Ovis aries: one gene and its partners. The protein of the gene in region 2 interacts with the protein of the main gene of each other region in a biochemical or structural test. Links are inferred from orthologs where the notes say so. Each region holds a gene or a part of one and is shown on either strand. Other genes may lie near its edges. The genes, in order: ITGB1, FLNA and ASB2.

Evidence for each region.
Region 1: the proteins of FLNA (region 2) and ITGB1 form a complex in vitro, tested with the Homo sapiens proteins (3 studies listed by BioGRID and IntAct). The link is inferred for Ovis aries from reciprocal best matches to the Homo sapiens genes FLNA and ITGB1.
Region 3: the proteins of FLNA (region 2) and ASB2 form a complex in vitro, tested with the Homo sapiens proteins (3 studies listed by BioGRID, with this or other methods). The link is inferred for Ovis aries from reciprocal best matches to the Homo sapiens genes FLNA and ASB2.

What each region holds. Positions count from the first base shown.
Region 1 is NC_056066.1:19,294,063-19,298,152, reverse strand, and holds the start of ITGB1 (integrin beta-1), read right to left. Parts: upstream 2,942-4,090; 5' UTR 2,646-2,941; coding exon 2,553-2,645; exon of another isoform or gene 2,434-2,552; intron 2,344-2,433; exon of another isoform or gene 2,290-2,343; intron 1,887-2,289; exon of another isoform or gene 1,793-1,886; intron 1-1,792.
Region 2 is NC_056080.1:80,098,272-80,101,916, reverse strand, and holds part of FLNA (filamin-A), read right to left. Parts: intron 3,623-3,645; coding exon 3,419-3,622; intron 3,343-3,418; coding exon 3,190-3,342; intron 3,074-3,189; coding exon 2,951-3,073; intron 2,831-2,950; coding exon 2,564-2,830; intron 2,433-2,563; coding exon 2,295-2,432; intron 2,125-2,294; coding exon 2,009-2,124; intron 1,473-2,008; coding exon 1,340-1,472; intron 611-1,339; coding exon 434-610; intron 270-433; coding exon 51-269; intron 1-50. UniProt on the Homo sapiens protein: Promotes orthogonal branching of actin filaments and links actin filaments to membrane glycoproteins. Anchors various transmembrane proteins to the actin cytoskeleton and serves as a scaffold for a wide range of cytoplasmic signaling proteins.
Region 3 is NC_056071.1:56,316,306-56,319,998, forward strand, and holds the end of ASB2 (ankyrin repeat and SOCS box protein 2), read right to left. Parts: intron 1,248-3,693; coding exon 1,111-1,247; 3' UTR 565-1,110; downstream 1-564. UniProt on the Homo sapiens protein: Substrate-recognition component of a SCF-like ECS (Elongin-Cullin-SOCS-box protein) E3 ubiquitin-protein ligase complex which mediates the ubiquitination and subsequent proteasomal degradation of target proteins.

The DNA of each region.
Region 1 (4,090 bases), on a different chromosome or scaffold from region 2:
AAGTAACCAAATGCCCTAGTTTCCCCAGGAGTTAGGAATTTATCCACCCCAGTATAGGGCATGTCCATTCAATGATGCTAATTTGGGGCAGCTTTTAAATATCCTGACCAGAAAGCTGAGGAGAAAGCCACCTAAATCCAATGATTTATTTAATATTACTGATCCTATACTTTCCACACACAGAATAGCGAGGGGATTAGAAAACAATACAGAATTTAACATTCTTTTAAAAAGAATCAACATTACAAAAACTTTAAATTTTAAGTCTGTGAAATCAACACTGATGACTCAATCTGGAGTTTGCTATTTACAGAAGCAAAGTATTAACCACATCCCATCTTTTTAACTAGCATTCTAATAACATCTTCCATTTTATACTGCATTCTAGGGTGGGTATAATCGCTTTCTCCTCAAATGCCTATTAACTAAAACATGGATTTCTTTCATGTGTTTTCTATTTATCAGCTAATCATCTTCAATCCCTCATTTATTAATCAGTGAACTAAAATTATTTTCAAATGTGAACATCTCTGTAGGGCTCTTAAGCCACCCCTGACTCCTGTGAGCCTTGATGTCCACAGATCCAGAATAGGTAACTTGCAAGTCAAGTTCCTTCACCACTTCTTAAGTGTTTAACACACAACGTATTGCAAAGTCTGGACTCAGTTTAAGAAAAATTCCTAATCGAAATTCAGTTAGCATTTGTTATTATTGTACCATCAAAACAACAATAAAAAATAACAATAATTCTACCCGGCTAATATTTATGTGGAACGCAGATTCAAAGAAACCTTACTGATATCACCAATTACATGAGGTTTTTTTTAAAGTCCTTCTACTGTATCAAGAAGGAAAGAAAAGGAGTTAATATTCATTGCGCTAAGTGTCTTCTATCTTACATTTTCTCACCACTGCACTGTACCTATACAAGGTTACCTGTGGTTCAAACACGGGTTGCTGGACCACATGGGTTGTCCTCATCACAACTGGGTGACCACTTATGCTCCCTGTGCCTCAGTTTCATTTGTAAAACAGGGATTAAATACAACACCTACCTCTTTGGATCAGTTCCAGGATTAAAGGACAAAATAAAGGTAAAGTGCATAGAGGTAGGCATAGCCCTCACTGTCCTCATAATAATTCCTAGTTTTATTATTAGTATAGGTAGGTACTGTTCCCATTTTACAGATGGAAGAAATGGAGCCTTAAAGAGTGTAATTTACTAGTAATGATCATACAGACTAGCGCTAGGTTTTCATGCAAAAGCACAAAACTGATGAAACAAAAATTGCTCTGGCATGAAATACTACCATTCTTAAAAATACAACTTGTTCTGAAGCATCGGGAACGGCACGAATCAGGCACAGGCTGGGCAGGAGCCCTGGACACGGCCGCGGCGCCCACACCCAGCATTAGGAGAAGGGCCCACAGGACGCGCCCACCCGGCTCCCCGGTGCCCAGCGGCGCGGCGACGCCAGGGACGCGGGGCTGGAGCCGGGGTGAGTGGTCCCGGCGTGGAGACCCGGCAGCCGAGGCCGCTGCCGGACGCAGGTCCGCGGAGGCCCGTCCGCGCCCAGCCCAGCGTCCGAGTGGCTGGTCCGACTCCCGGGCCTCCGCGACCGCGGCCCCGCGAGGACAGCGCCCCTGCCGGGAAGGTCCAGGGGCGGCCGCGGCCCGACTTCCTCCCCCGCCTGACGGCTTGGAATCCACCCGGAGGCCGCGGCCCCCACGTCCGCTCCTCCATGAGAGCCCGGCCGCGCACCGAGCCCGCCGCCCGCCCTCCCGGGCCCACCTTCTCCCGCGGCGTCCGGCCCGCGCGGTCGGCTCGGCCTGTGCTCCGCGGTTCCCGCTCGGCCTGTCCCGAGCTGGCGTGGCCTCCCGGGCTCGGGCGCGGCGGCGGCGGCGGCGGCTCCTCCTCCTCGCGGGCGGGAGGAGGAGACTCGGCGGCGCGGGGCCGCCTCCCGGCAGGAAACGACCCCCGGGGCACCGCCTCCCTGGCGCTGCGATCCCGCTCCGCAGGCCGCCGCCGCGGCTCTCGCCCTCCGGAAGCGCATTCCTCTCGGGCCGCGTCAGCCGCGCCCGCGGTGGGAGGGGGAGGGGGACAGGGCGGGGAGGGGGAGGGGACGGAGGGGGAGGGGCAGGGGGACTGCGGCGCGGGCCGTGCGAGGGGCGGGGGCCACGGGACAAAGGAGCGGCCCTGCTGGGCCGCGGGCTCCGCCGCAACCTCGGCCGCGCCTCCTTTCTTTGCAGCCGAGGGAGAGAGGGAGGATTTTGCCTGGCCCTGCTCACCTTAATATCCTTCTCGGCCTGCCTTAGGCGCTGCTTCTTCAAAGCCCCGTGTCTGTCCGGCCGGAGGACTGCCCGGGGTTGAACCCTGGAAGCCCTGCCTCCCAGGAGCCGGCTCAGACAGATCCGGGACACTTAGTCACTCACCTTGTTAAGGTTTCGTGGGGCCAAAAACGTTTCCCTTTGGAAGGGAAGTAGCTAAAGCCGATATTTTTCTGGTGGGAGGATTTGCTTGATTTACGTCTTTGAGAGAGGGGAAGACTTACGGAGGAGACGGGTGCCAGGAAAAATGAAGAAAGTTGTAGAGAGAAGCTGGTGAGTTGAGGAGCAGCTTTTGTTAGGTTCATCTGGAGGTCCATTTATGGGGAACAGGGAGGAGAAGGAAAAGTTCATCCTTGATACCGTTTCTGTCCTACCTCACTTTTTTCAGTAGGTGGATAGGGGGGCTGGAGAAGAGACAGCTAAAAGAAGCATGGCTGGGCACATTTTGATAAGAGCATCGAAACCTCTGCCGGCCGGCATCATACTGAAACCCGGTTACTCAGAATGCGCTGCTGGCAGGCTGCCATCCTGTTAGCAGAAAATGTCCATTGCCACGTGGTGAGCTGCAGCACCCTGTTGGGAACAGAACTCGAATGATGAGATTTGTGAAACTGAGAAGCAGTGTTTCATTTGGGGAAGATTAGAAGCTGTGATGCTCATTTGACGACCAATCTTGAGGAAGAAAAAAAGACAACCCCATCTATGGAAATGTTACCCATTGCTCGCCAGCAAAATTAAATCTTTGGTTAGGTAATCTCTGGAAACCTCTAAAGAAACAAGAATGATTTTTCCCACTTAATGGATGAGCAAATTTAAGAGACTAAATGATGTTTCCTTATTTGGGGAATCTAAAAAAGGATATAGATGAACTTCTTTACAAAACAGAAATAGTCTCACAGACATAGGAAAACAATCCCATGGTTAAGGGGAGGGAGGATAAATTAGGAGTTTGGGATGAGCATACACACACTACTCTAAATAAAACACAAACAAGGACCTACTGTAGAGCACAGGGAACTATATTCAGTAACCTGTAATAACCCATAATAGAAAAGAATCTCAAATAAATTCTTTTTCAGATTCTTTTCCATGTATATATTCTTTTTCAGTTTCTTTTCAGTGATATATATAACAAACTTTTCTGTACACTGGACACTAGCGTAACATTGTAAATCAACTATACTTAAATTTTTTTTTAATTAATATATCTATGTTAACAACCCAATGGTGCAGCTGCCAGCAGACCTCAACATTCTTGAATTTAAATGTACTATTAATACTGTTGTTCAAAACTGCTCAAAATCTATGTCTGGTCTCAGCATGGATTACCATTCTAAAGTGTAGTTTATCCATGCTTGATTTGTACTACATTCCCCAGAACTTTCTTCCTTGTGTGATTTGCTACATTATAAGATTCACATTTGCACAACATTAAACTAAATTAGACCAAAGGCAGTGTAATAATCATCTTTTTAATCTCAGTGTCAAACACTGTTCCAGGTCACACAATAGGGGCTCAGCTAATACTGGATAAATGAATAAATGGGTCCTTTTGCTCCCCTGGGACCACACCAGAACATCCAACTGCACTAAAGTGTGAGTAGCAATTTATCTGCAGAAGTTATGAGCTTTGAGGAAATGAGAAATTAAAGAAATATATTCTCTAAGAAAAGCAGTGATTGGTCAGGAGTATGGCTCCATTCGTGATTTCAGATAAATATTCATCGAAGAACAGCTAACTATAAAATTTATGAGCGTTTCA
Region 2 (3,645 bases):
AGGAGTGCCCAGCAATGGGTTGTGTAGCAGCCGTCTGGCACCAGGCTCACCTGTGACTCTGGCCTTGAAGGGGCTGCCCGCAATGTGGTAGGGGCCGCCGTACTTGATGGAGATGAGGTAGCTGCCAGGTGCCATGGGGGTGTAGGTGACGCGGTAGCCCTCAGGGCACTCATGGCAATCCATCTTCACCTTGGAAGGCCCGTCGATGGTGACTGAGAGGGCACCAGCGCCCGCATTGCTGGTGTTCACGATAAACTCAGCTGGGCTCCCTGGGGGCACGGGAAGGTAGGTACAGCTGGCCTGGCCCGTTGCCCCACCCCCCACCCCAACAGAGTCTTGTCACCTCCGCACGCCACCTGTTGTCACCAAGAGCTTGGAGGAGGGAACCCTAGTCATTGTGTTCACACACCAGAAGCCACTCATGCTGACCTACCTGTGATGCCGCCTTCCAAGCCAGCTCCATAAGCAGACACCAGGCCTGGGTCCCCTCCATGCCCAGGCTCCCCAACTCGGATCTTGAAGGGGCTCCCCGGGATGTGGGTGCCGTTGAATTTGACATCAATCAGGTAGATGCCATTCTCCCGTGGGATAAAGCGCACAGCATACTTATCTGAGGAACAGAGAAGTAGGTGGTGGGCCTGGGGTCCCTCCTCTAAAACTGAGCAAGTGGCATGTGCCCACCAATATGAGTCTAGCAGGTCTTGGGGCCCAGTTAGCTTCTTCTGGGAACTGTGCTGGGCACCTTCACCCTACTGTACAGAAATCCTGAAGCCCGAGGGATGAAGCTTTAGATGCCCAAGCTACTGACAGATGCCCAAGCTCACTTTAGATGCTGCAGCATTTGGACTGAAGTCTTTTGTAAGCAAGACACCTGCTTCAATGCCTCCTTAGAAAGGCTACCCTGAATGTCATATCCACCACATGCTAACTGGGGCCCAGAGATAGGCAGGAACTTGCTCGAGGTCATACAGCCAGCAAGGGGCAGGACTTAGCCATGGACGAGTCAAATTGAGCAGCTCCTCCCACCCCCAAGCCTGTCTGTGAGTTCCAGGCCCTGGCAGGACCAACTGCTAGACTTGGGGTCTCTCTTGTAAGAGATGGCAGGATCATGCCTCCAGAGGGCTTTGTCCTTTCTAACAGCATGGCTGCTGAGCCCAGTCCCCAAGGGCTTGGGTCCCAAGTAGGGGGCGGGGGGCCCAGGCCCTGTCTCGGCTGCTTGCAGATTATGTGTCTTGCTTTACACTCTCAGCCTGCTTCCAGCCAGCAGGGCCGGCCTGGGGAGGCCCACTGCTCCCAGCAGTGCCCGGGTGGATGGCTGGGTGGCCAGGCAGGGCCTCACCTTGGTCGATCTCGGTGACATAGCACTCCTCCAGGGCTCCTGAGGGGCTGTGCACCTTGGCATCGATTGCCCCCTTGGCCCCATTCAGGCTGACTGCAAAAGAGGCTGGCTGGTTGACCTTTAGCCCTGACTCCTGGAAGCACAGCAGACATGGTTAGGATAGCGGAGGCTGGCGGGGGTGGGGGGGGGGCGTGAGGGGAGGCTGGGCCCCAGAAGCAGGAGGCCCAGGGGGAGGCACTTACCCATCTGGCGTCCAAGTGGGTTTAAAGAGGGAGAGCCAGCGCTTCTCGAGGGGCAGCAAGCTCCAGGCACACACCCCAAACCCCTAGCCCCACGCACTCCAGGCACACAGCGGGTAGGCGGGAAGCAGGGCGCCCCCCGGCCCACAAGCAGCACTCAGCAGCCCTGGCAGGTGGCTGTCCCTCTTTAAACCTCAGCCCTGGTGCTCAAGGGGCACAGGCTTCTGTTCAAAGCCTTTAGACCTGAGACACGAGAAAAACTCCACGCGGCCGTCAGGGGTGCGTCCTGCCGACCCAGGCATGGGCTGTTCCCGGCCAGAGCAGAAGCAGCCCGGCGCCCTGAGCTGGGCTGGCTGGGTCCCTGGACACAGGAACTCTGGTCTGGCCGGGCACAGGAGCCCCAGGCGGGCGGTTTCTCTCAGTGCCTCACCTGAAGACTAGAAACAGTAAGGCGGCGGGCGTCACCAGACGGAGAAGCCACAGGTACCACGAAAGGGCTATCGGGGATGTGCTCCTCGTTGAACTTGACTGACACCTCATAGTCACCTGGATGGGGAGCGAGAACAAGATGGCCATGCATGCCTCCCCCCCGACAGCCCAAGAGGCCCTGGGGCCTCAGGGTGTTGAGAGGGGGAGAAGGTGGAGATCTCTGTATAGACCTGGACGGGCACCCAGCCCCAAGGGGCAGCCTGCCGGCCCCAGCCAGACCGCAGTACCTGGCTCCTGGACCACATAAGCCACGCCACAGGAGCCATCCTTGCGGTCCTCGAAGGAGATCTCGGCCTTGCTGGGGCCCTCGACAGCAATGGCCAGGCCCCCCGCACCAGCTTCCCGGGTCCAAATGCTAAACTCGGCTGCAGGAAGGCAGAATGTGTCCTCATGGAGGGCTGTGCTCCCCACCCCCAGCATGGGCTGCTGGAGACTTCCTCCCTCCCACTGCACCCCCAGCCGGGAGCAGACAGAGCCCCAAAGGAAGCAGGCCTACCTGGCACTCCAGCTTCAGCCCTTTCCAGGCCAGGGCCCCCGGCACGGACCTTGTGGGCTCCCCCTTCCCCCAGGGGCCCCACAGTGAACTGGAAAGGGCTCCCGGGCACGTGCTGGCCCTTGTACTTGACGCTGACTGTGTGCATGCCCATCTCAGCAGGCACAAAGCGGATGCAGTAAGTATGGTTCTCCCCTTCCACGATCTCGGCCTCATGGCTCTTGCCTGACGGGCTAGTCACCTGCGCTGTCATGTCCTGGATGCTAATTTCTGCAGGTGGGGGAATAGCCAGTTGAGCAAGAGACCCAGGCCACGCCTCTCTGTCCGGGGGCACCCCAGAGCTAGTGCTTAGGCCTCCCCGGGACCCGCCCAGGCGGCCACAGCTCCCACCTGGGATCTTGAGGCTGAGGTCACAGTGACTACCAACATTAGCCACCGATGGGGCCCGTCGCCTGCGCGTGATGCTCTCTTTTACGCGCCCCTCGCCTGTCACCTTCACGGAGAAGGGGCTGCCTGCAGGAAGAAGGCACAACCCACACCCCAGACAGGTTACCCTCTGCTGGGGGCCCCTGGAGTGTGGCATGGAGAGTCACCCAGCAGTGGGGGAGGTACATGGGTGCTGTACCCACCAGGCACGTGCTGGTCAGCAAACTTGATGTTGATGATATAGTTGCCAGGCTCCGTGGGGCAGTAGGTGACCCTGCATGTGCCATCCTCCAGGTCCTCTGTGTTGATGTCTACTTTGCTGGGACCCTCGATGGACAGGCTGAGCCCCCCATAGCCTGTGGGCGAGACATCCCTGAGCCAGGGGGCCAAGTATGGCAGTCTGACCCCCGCTCCCAGGTCCCTACCGCCTACCTGCATCGCGTGTATCAATGATAAACTCTGCTGGCTCAAAGGTGTGGCCTTCATGGAGGCCCTGGCCCGAGACCCGCACACGGCTGGCATCCCCGATCTCTGATTGGCTGATCACCACTGGAATGGGGCTGCTTGCCACATGCTGCCCATTCTTCTTCACGTGCACCAGGTGTTCTCCTGTCTCCTTGGGCACGAACGAGATCCCTAGGCACAGAGCGGGGCTGTCA
Region 3 (3,693 bases), on a different chromosome or scaffold from region 2:
TCCTGCCCGGCTTCCCCCAAGTCATGGGAGGATAGGAGGATGTGGCGGAGGGCACAGGGCTGGCTTCCTGCCTCTCAAGCGTGGGGCCTTTGAGAGGAGAGACGACAGCCTCCCTCTGGCACCTGCTCACAGGAGCCAGTACTTAGATGGCTTTCCCCTCGTATCTCAGCCTTTGTTGCCAAATGGGTGAGTTAAGACGTGAAGACAGTGCCAGGGAATGTGTGCGTAAGACAAGGCCAGGTGTCAGGAGACTTGTAGGCTCTGAGACCCTGTTTGTGATGAAGCTCTGGTTTCTATGGCAACGGAACCAGGAGAGAGAAAGCAATGTTGCCAGCTTCGATCACAGGGCAGCCAGCTGCCCCCTCTCCTCTGGCCATCAGGTCTCTTCTGGTGAATGAAGGACACATGCTCTGGGGCCTTTCAGAAGTCCAAACCAAAGTGATGTGATCAGGGCTCCACGTGCCCTGTCCCAGCCCCCGGTCCCACCCTCACTCCCACCAGGAGCTGGACTGAGGACCTCAAGGCCCTGGAGGGGGCTGGTGAGAGACTTCACTGGGCAGGCTGTCATCTGTGCAACATTTATTGTACCTAAGGAAGCCCTCCGGGCCCGAGGTCTCCCACCCTGCTCCCCTGGGCCACAGCTTTGGGGAGAGAACTGAGTCAAGTGGAGAGTTTCACAGAGCACAGGGGGAGGGGCACGGGGCAGCTCTGCAGCGAGGTGGCCCAGCAAAGACAGAATCACCCCAGAAAGAAAGCTCTCCAACCACAGCCTGGAGGTGGGGTCAGGGCTTCGCTGCCAGCCCCCTTGCCTTCCCCTGACCACCCCAAGTTCTGCCCTGGTCCCGCCTCTCGGCCCCAGGAATGGAGCTTTCTGCCATTCCCAATGGCAGAGCCGGTCTGGGATTTCCTCATCCAAGTGAAAGCCAACCCAGTTCTTCTCCTGCTCGATACATCTGTCCTCTGCTCTGGGCAAAGCTCTGGCCCAGAGACCTCTGAGAGCCCGGCAGCTCCCAGCCACATCTGTCCCCGGGCCCCCTGGATTTGGAGACACGGCTGTCCTGAGACTCAGCGAAACCGTCTGAGGAGCTGCTCCGCCCCTGCGTGCTCTGGTTACTGGGTGTTCTCGTATTTCAGGTATCTGATCAGCCTGCCTGGAAGCGGCAACGTGTCCAGGAGTTTGATGCGGTATTTCCCGATGGCCTTTCGAACTCGCAGCCGGCAAAGATGAGCCAGGGGTCTTGGAGGTTCTGGAAAAGACAGAAAGAGAGATGCTGATTGGTCGCTTGCACCTGGCAGAGGGTTGGCATCTCTGACCCCTGGCTTGTGGGAAGCACCTGACCCGTGTGGCTGGCTAAGAGAGGAGATGCCCTGATTCCCCCATGCTCACGGTCCCTGCCAACTGAAAAGGTGCCATACTTCATTCATCTGCACAGCCCAAGGAAGAAGGAGGGCAGGTTTGATGTTGTTGTTTAGTTGCTAAGTCGTGTTCAACTCTTTTGTGATCCCATGGACGGTAGCCCACCAGGTTCCTCTGTCCATGGGATTTCCCAAGTAAGAATAATACTGGAGTGGGAGGCCATTTCCTTCTCCAGGGGATCGTCCTGACCCAGGGATTGAGCGCACGTCTCCTGCATTGGCAGGTGGATTCTTTACCACTGAGCCACCAGGGAAGCCCAAGGAGGGCAGGTACCAAACCCATTTCACAGGTGAGGGCTTAGCAAGAATCACGCCTGGCACTGGAGCTTGTCCTGGGCTCCCTCCTCTACGTGTCAGCCCAGACCCTGCCCTTCCTCATAGCCTCAGCAAATACGACCTCCTAAGTGACCCCACGCGTCCAGTTCAGCCCTGGGTTCTAGGAGGTGCAGAGAAGTCAGGATCAACAGGCAGGGACTGAGCAGGTCCCAGAATCCTACCAGGCCGCCTCTTCCAGGAGGCCCCCAGGGATACTTCATTAAGTGGAGCTTTCTCAGCTAAGGGGTGGGGGGGTGGAGAGAAGGGGGTAAGATTACCCCGTGATGCATCTAGTAATGGGGTAATTAATTTCAGCTCCGGGAACAGGGTAGGCATTTGATGAATCAAAGAACTCCATCCATTCATTCATTCAACACACACATGCTGACCCCTTCACTGCACTTGGCCCTGTGCTTGGGACAGAGGTACAGGGGTATCCACTCAGGAGCTTTGGGGAAAGCCTTCCATACCAGATGGTGCATCTGAAAGGTCTCGATGGGTGGGTAGGAAGTTGCCAGGTCGGGGACAGAGGCAGGGCAGTCCAAGCAGGGGAAGCAGCAGTGCCAAGCCAAAGAGACCGCCCAGGGGAGACGGGAATGCAGAGGGAACGTGGGGAGGGTGGAGAGGCCAGGGCGCCACAGTGTAGCCTCTCCAGCCGCCCCATCAGGGCATTTCTGACACTTCCACTGCCCTCTGATCTCAGGACAGAGCCTGCCCTGGAAAGCACAGCCCCTTTCTCAGCAGAGCAAAGGCTGAGCTTGTGGGAAGGCAAAAGGCTGCTGGCAGGCAGAGGACACAAGGCCTCCAAGGCTGGCATCCTGGCTGGCTTTGGAGCCTCTGATATCAACAACACAGCATTAAATGAAAGTCAGTCAGTCAGTTCAGTCACTCAGCTGTGTCCGTCTCCTTGTGACCCCATGGACTGCAGCACGCCAGGCTTCCCTGTCCCAGAGCTTGCTCAAACTCAAGTCCATCCAGTCAGTGATATCAGCCAACCATCTCATCCTCTGTTGTCCCCTTCTCCTCCTGCCCTCAATCTTTCCCACCATCAGGGTCTTTCCCAATGAGTTAGTCCTTGGCATCAGGTGGCCAAAGTATAGGAGTTTCAGCTTCAGCATCAGTCCTTCCAATGAACACCCAGGACTGATCTCCTTTAGGATGAACTGGTTTGATCTCCTTGCAGTCCAAGGGACTTCTCAAGAGTCTTCTCCAATACCACAGTTCAAAAGCATCAATTCTTTGGCACTCAGATTTCTTTATAGTCCAACTCTCATATCCATACATGACTACTGGAAAACCATAGCCTTGACTAGACGGACCTTTGTTGGCAAAGTAATGTCTCTGCCTTTTAATATTTTGTCTAGCTTTTCCTCCAAGGAGCAATTGTCTTTTAATTTCATGGCTACAGTTACCACTTGCAGTGATTTTGGAGCCCCCAAAAATAAAATCTCTCACTGTTTACATTGTTTCTCCATCTATTTGCCATGAAGTGATGGGACTGGATGCCATGATCTTAGTTTTCTCAATGTTGAGCTTTAAGCCAACTTTTTCACTCTCCTCTTTCACTTTCATCAAGAGGCTCTTTAGTTCATCTTCACTTTCTGCCATAAGGGTGGTGTCATCTATATATCTGAGGTTATTGATATTTCTCCCGGCAATCTTGATTCCAGCTTGTGCTTCATCCAGCCTGGGATTTCGCATGATATAAACTGCATATAAGTTAAATAAGCAGGGTGACAATATACAACCTTGATGTACTCCTTTCCCTATTTGGAACCAGTCTGTTGTTCCATGTCCAGTTCTAACTGTTGCTTCTTGATCTCCATACAGATTTCTCAGGAGGCAGTTCAGGTAGTCTGGTATTCCTGTCTCTTGAAGAATTTTCCAGTTTGTTGTGATTAACACAGTCAAAGGCTTTGGTGTAGTCAATAAAGCAGCAGTAGATGTTTTTCGGGAACTCTC